2 linked regions of the Daphnia pulex genome follow. The protein of the gene in region 2 interacts with the protein of the main gene of each other region in a pairwise test. Links are inferred from orthologs where the notes say so. Each region holds a gene or a part of one and is shown on either strand. Other genes may lie near its edges.

Region 1 (4,102 bases), on a different chromosome or scaffold from region 2:
CTTGATGGTTTTGTTCTGCAGACGCAATCCATTGAGAGTATTTATGGCTTTTTCGGCATCTTCAGCTCGGTGGTAATTGACGAATCCGTAACCCAAACTCTGCCCTGCTTTCAGATCGAAAGACACAAACGGAAACAGAAAAAAAAAGAGAGAAATCGGGTTGATTTTTACTGAATTCGGATAATTTAGGGGTTAAAATAAAATTCCAGACAGTCGATAAATTATCTACCATCATTGATCTCAAAATCAAGACCTGTGATTTTGTCGCGGATGAGTTTGCAACTCTCGACTTCGCCAATGGAGGCGAACAAGGAACGAATCTCTTCTTGGGTCATCGTCTGTGGCAAGTAATTAACAATCAAGTTAGTCTTGCTCTCGTCATCTTTGGGTACAATGTGCTGCGATCCCTGTATGAGAAGAAAAGAAACAAGACACCAACGTCAATGTCGAACACGACAAGTCCAGGAAATGGATTTAAAAAAGTAGAGTAGAAAAATGAGACAGACGAATCCTCTCACGTGGCTAACATTATTGACGGATGCAACGTGGTTGAGTCCATTGGCTGTCAGGACGCCGTGTTGAGGTAGACTTTCTAAACCGTTCATTCTGTCGCTGATGCTTTCGGCTGCTGCTGCGTAATCTATAAAAGACAACAAAATACAAACAAATAAATGTTTTGTTCAGACAAAAGTTAATGATACGCCCACAGAAAAGTCGTAGAGCAATCGCTCCGAGGTGGAACGGGACTCATTAGCGTGACTAAAGTGTTTTAAAGACACGTGTCCTCTCATTAAAAATACTCTTTTTTAAAACGGAAAAACAAGAAAGCCAAAACTCGCATACCCCTAGTACGACAAAAGCACACAAACAGAAAACGGACTAGCCAGCCGAATTTTTGGGCGTCAGAGGAAAAAAGGAGCTAGAGACCTCGGCGGAGGAGCTATCGATCGGCGTCTGTACACCACAAGAGTAGCTGGTTGGTCGCAGGATTATGACGCCATCTGACGTGGAATGGGGATTCGCGTCCGGACACAATCACAACACACACACACAGTGAACACACACACACACAAAAGGAGATGGGGGAATTTAAAAAGCCTGGATGCAGCTGCTCCAACCAACAACCCCCTGGTAACCATCTGCACATGAAATGTGCAGACACCCTACTCTTGAATTGAATAGCGGGCAACATGGGGTCGATGAGATCTTTCTCTCTCTTGTGTCGCAGGCAACAACAGAACAAATAATAACGGGGTTGTTGTTTGAGAAACGGTTTTTTTTTTATGATAACATTTTTTGGACGACACGTTAGATCAAGACGCGCGACAATGTTCCCTCGTCATGAATAATACCCGGGGAAAAAAAGTAAGTCGTCGGAGAGAGTTTCGTATTACGTCCGGCTCTTTCATGTCTCCCAGGATCGAATCGTCCAATGCGGCAGAGAGAGAAAACGAGTTTTTCTTTCATCGATTCCCTCGACTCTCTTTTCTCCTTTCGAAAAAATCTTGTTCGCTAGGCTAGCCAACTACTACCCCCTCTCTCTCTTTTTCTATACTACTGACAGAGAAGAAGAAGAACTATTGATCCACTCACTGAAAAAAAGGTGGGGGAGTCACGGTTGCCATGGAGGCCATGCAAACACATAGACACACACGGCGCAGATGGATCGAAGTGGCGCTTGCGCCCACCATCTGCCCTACTCGGAACTTTTCATCCGGTTTCCGTTTTAATTTTTTCAAAAACCGACAAAGGGTGATGAGTTAACGTTCTAGAAAATGTCATTACCTTAAAAAAGAAAACGCATTTAAACTTTTTCTCAGCACCTCGTGAAAAGAAATGTTTGAAAAAAAAAAAGAAGCTGTAGAGTTACTGTTACTAAAAGTCTACGACATTCCCGAAGGAGAAGGAGGGGGGTCTCTCCGGACGCCGCTGGATTATTGATCGTCGCTTTGAACGCACGCGCGGGGGCCACACAAAAAACTAAATCGATATAGACCCTCCCATAGTTGCAGCTGCTTCTTCCTGACAAGACCTTGCCCTTTTTTCTGAAAAAATAAAACACGAAACTTTCGTGTGTGTGTTGACTGATGAGTGAAATGAAAATAACTCTATACACACTCACTGAAAAAAAAGGTGGGGGGAAAGGGGGGGGGGGGAATGATTAGCTACACACACGACGGCTAGGGCAAGAGGCTGGGTATGAACACAGTGACAGTTGGTTTCGGCAGCTGTTTGCTTACGTAGCCCATCCCGTTCCATACCTTTTTTTCTTTTTCTTTTTCTTTTTTTGACCCGATCTATCTCTTACTTATTTCTTTCTCCGAAAAACCGCCATCTTGAAATGGCAAAAGGGGGGTACCCTATGCAATCGAAGATTATTATATTACCTTTTATGATGTGTTGGAAAAATGGCCGGTGGTTACCCGCGTGGTCTCACACACTCTCACACTCTGTCGTCGATTTAAGAAAAAGAACGATTTTGGAGGGAAAACGTGTAGGTAGAAAAATGAACGCGAATCAAAAAACGATATTTCGAAAAAAGGAAATCAAGAGAAAAAACAGCCCGTGTGTTTTAATATCGAGTCAAAATTACGAATACGAATTTAGAATTTAATTGTTTTTTGTTTTTGTCAAAACTGAAAAAAGGTAAGACAAAAAAAGAGGATAGGAAACTGATAGCTGATGGATGGAAGAAAAAGAAAAAATTAACACACGAGAAAAAACTTCAAAAAGGATGGGAACGAAGGAACACAAGACTTGCTCGCTGTGTGTCTGAACGTCTACTACACTAAACAGTCGGTTCGAATGGAAAATTGCAGTGCGCATGGTAGCGCCACCACCGTTCTCCCCCCCACCTCCTTTGATCGCACACATTTTCGTTATTCTCCCCCCTCTCGTTGAAATGGAAATGCTTCAAGTTCTATATATCCCTCTTGTATAAATAAAAAAAAAATTTTTAGCCATGTTTATTTATATATATTTCCGATCTATATATTTGGCTGGACAAGTAATAGAAATGTGTTGGTGTAACTCATTAACTCTGGAATGCCAAAGATTTTAGACGATTTCGTTTTTCTTTTCCGTCTTCCTCAGCAGAGGATGACGTCATTAAGGATTTACTGTGTATTGATTTCTTTAGTGTGTTGAGGAACGTCCGTATACTAGCCTTTGGGAACGAATCTTTTCCTGACTCTGCCAGACAGGATGACTGCTGTGTCTTCTGCCAACTGCACAGAGAGAGAGAAGAGCCGACATTTTGATTTGTTGGATTGAACTCATTTATAACCATCTAGCTGCGTTTCTTTTGTTCCAACTGCGTGTATACCACACAGGCAGCTAGATAAAAATGTATATTTGTATGTGGGTTGATGTATTTGAATAGAAGGAATCTTTTTCTAATTTCCACGGTTCTCATCGATCAAACAAAGGGACGCAGAATAAAGCACGAATTACGTATTACGACTTGGCTTTCATCGTTCCCCCCTTTCTCATTCCCTCTCGATCAGATAATATCAAAATAATTAGGTGTATATTCTTCTTCATTTTGAAAATCCATTGTTTCGATTCCTAGTTGAATTTAAAATGTCAGACTGCAATGAGTCACGATTATCATACATGGGGCGATATAGGATCTTCGATTAAACATTTTGATTAGCTTTTTTTTTCAAAATTACAAATCATATATATTTTAAGCATGTAACATACTGTGAAACATTTATTCGTCGAATTTTCGAAATGAAAATTCACCCATTTTGTTGGTGCGCTTTAGACGAATCTGAATTTCAGCGACTTGGCATTTTCCGTAGCAGAAGACCGATAAAGACCTGCCAAACTGGGTGGCGGTGTCACTGTCATCTCGGCCCATTTCCCGTCTAAATAAATATCAAGAAATCTCTTATTATTAATATTAAACAATAAGTGGTTTCTTTTTTTTTAACTCATCATGTCGACGTCAGCAATCTTCATTCTTGACGTAAAGGGAAAGGTAAAGATAGTTTAAATTTCTGATTTTATATGAATATTTATGAGTCATGAGTATATACGTGTTGGTGTCAAACAGGTGCTGATCTCGCGCAACTACCGAGGAGATGTCGAAATGGGG
Region 2 (2,881 bases):
CGTCATCCAACGACGGCACCGCTGGTGGGTTGTTTGCCCGATAGCTTCTTTCACTTTCCCTAAATTTTATAAGCATTATTGATTTCGAAAACTGTTAGATTATTATTTCCATGTATGCTATTTGATTTGTTCAGAGCTATTTTTAGTCTTTAGATTATGACTTGATTTTTTAAGCTTAGGGACTTGATTACGTTTTAGTTATAGTTGAACTTTGGCATATTTCGTGCCTTGTGCTTTAATGCAAGCAGTACGATTTATTTTATTCTATTTTATATAGATATATATATATATATATTTTTTTTTGGGGGGGGGGGGCAAAACCACGTCAAATCATAGTGGCACATAAAAAAAATAATTTTCTGGTTTCTTTAGCTGCGTTATTAAAGTGTAAGTTCGTACTTTGCTTTCTCTTGCTGCGTGGATATCTAAATAGTCGTAAGAACAAATTTTCATCAAGTTCAATTTGTAGTAATGGACTTGCAAAAGAACATTCCCATCCATTACTGCGATTTTTTTTTAAGGGAATCGCAAAAGGATGTACGTCTAGCAATTTTCTTAAAAGTCCTCGCTTTTCTTCAGTGAGCGTTTTATACAATTGAAGTTGGATACGTTTCAGGAGTAAAGTGTTAATTGAAAACAATCGCCCACACTAATCTGGTCTTGAGATGCCATCAAGGTGTCGTGCCTGCTGGTTGATTAAGTGCAACAATTTTTTTGGAGTTGATTGAAATCTCGTGTTTTTAAATCAACTGACAAAAAAATTGGTCAGTTTGGTTCAAACACCTTTCTCGGTCAATTGTTTTAGCAATTGACTGATGGTCCGGTACTCAATCCTCGCAGGCACGACGCTTTAAATCAGCTTACTTAACATAATAGGATAAATGACGAATTGAATGTTTTAAGAACCAAATGTTTTGTCTTTTGTTTTTATGAATCACATTATCTGTCTTTACTTCTTCAGTGTATTTAAACATAAACATACTAATGAAACACCGGCCGCTCCGCTCCCTCTGTCTGGCTGATTGTAGGAGGCGCTAGTGGGAAGCTGAGACGCCATCTGGGCTCGCAAGGGCGAGAGCATCCTTACCAAAGGAACGACCTCAACTAACAAGCCAACCAACAACTACCACCCAAAAACAAACCAATCAAAAACAAACAAAAATCCAACCCAACCATCCAGCAGTTGTCCCAGATATTCAGGCCAGGTGCGTTGCCTCTTCCAACCAAACCTTAACTTACTAATACTAACATCTTATATATATATATAGACATTTACGCACAAAACCAATTGTGTTGTGTTTTAAACGTGAGAGTTCGTGTAAGCCAAGCGTCGGAGCTAGGTGCGAATTACTGTTGAAATGTCGCTTTGATCAATTTGTCGGTAAATTTGCCTTAATTTTAAAGCTATCAATGCTGTTTCGTGCATTCAAGGCGAACGTTCTGTGTAAAAATGATTTGGCTCGTCTCTGTGAAGTTAGGTTGCGTGTTTCGTTACTTCAAATGTTTTATTGCTGTTTGCAATATAACGATGATGACAGATGCAGTTTATCCCGTTATTAAGAACTTCACACACACACACCAAATCCGGTGCCCTACACGTTCATTCGCTCGTGGCCATTTTCTCATTTCACTACCGCCCGTAAACAAATCCATCTTCAATCTTGCAAGTTGTTAGGGCGAGAGTGCAATCATTGAACAAAGTTCGTGCTTTTTCCTCAATGTGTTAAAGGCTCGCTAAAGGGCGAATTACAAAAAGGACAGTGGAAATCTGCTTCATAAAAATGTGCAACATGGCATATGTTAAATTCAGGCCGGCAAGCTCGCTTTCTCGTTAAACGAATCAATTATTTTTGGATTTTTTAAAATTATAGTATCACTGATATCTTACTACCGAACTGAATGAAACAACATACAAATGGTCTGAACTTTGAATGTACTTGTCAACCTTGTAATTTTCCTCGAAAACTAATTCATTAACCGGCGTTAATTGAACGTTTATTAGCTGAAGATTGAAGCAGGTGGCAACCAAGAATCAAATAATTTCGACAGCTAAAATTTAAGATCTGTTTGTTATCCGAGTGTCGTGTTATGTTTCTCGTGTTTCATGTACAGTTTCAAATTGCATTTAAGTCATTCTATTTTCTTTAAAACGTTTTTACTACTTTCAGTTTAGCTGTATCGCATTCGAACTCTTGTTGGACCGTTTCGAGTGTTTTTCTTTTTCTTTTTTTTTATGGCGAAGACCATTGTTTGTCTTTCGTGTCATTTGATTTGCAGAGAAAACATCCGAAGTACTTAGTGCCAATATTTACTATTATATATATAATGAATATATATATATAATTGTTTCAGCCAAATACAGTGGTATGCCTTTCTAAAAATCATTTGCGTGACTTTTACTTAGTTTATTACGGTTTCCTATGCGATGTAGTCGCATCCCTTCTACCATTGCTTCCTTTGGTTTTGTATGTGAAATGACGTATTTGGTGTTATTTCGATTACTGCGTTTGCGTTTTAACTCAGAAGCGGAAACCTTAACTAGCGACTCGCCTTTTCAGTGGTAGTGTTCCATCAATTGGGACTTGTTGGTCTTAGGGCAGGGCTTCAATTTCTTGGCTGTGCAAACTTAAATTAGTCTACTTTATCCTGAGGCCAAAAGAAGCGGTTGACGAAGATTTTACGTATTGCATAAGGATTTCATATTACTAACTCTTCTTGATCTAATCCATGCCACTTAATCAATATCGATGGGACCATTTGATACTAACGATTTTTTTTTTCTTTTTCTATTCGTTCTTTCAATATCCCTTACCTGAAACTCCCTTACCTTTTCGTGACTTTCTTGCACCTGGTAACACCAATAAAACTTGCCACCCAATTA

The links.
Region 1: the proteins of protein quaking-like (region 2) and ELAV-like protein 3 interact in a two-hybrid assay, tested with the Caenorhabditis elegans proteins (2 studies listed by BioGRID). The link is inferred for Daphnia pulex from reciprocal best matches to the Caenorhabditis elegans genes asd-2 and exc-7.

Annotation. Positions count from the first base shown.
Region 1 is NC_060020.1:3,291,553-3,295,654, forward strand, and holds the start of ELAV-like protein 3, read right to left. Parts: upstream 2,801-4,102; 5' UTR 2,388-2,800; intron 641-2,387; 5' UTR 606-640; coding exon 519-605; intron 408-518; coding exon 230-407; intron 108-229; coding exon 1-107. Other genes in the region: AP-1 complex subunit mu-1-like, read left to right, coding at 3,944-3,985, 4,061-4,102.
Region 2 is NC_060021.1:4,081,681-4,084,561, reverse strand, and holds the end of protein quaking-like, read left to right. Parts: coding exon 1-24; intron 25-1,028; coding exon 1,029-1,108; 3' UTR 1,109-2,381; downstream 2,382-2,881. UniProt on the Caenorhabditis elegans protein: RNA-binding protein that binds to the 5'-NACUAAY-N(1,20)-UAAY-3' consensus sequence in pre-mRNA introns to promote alternative splicing.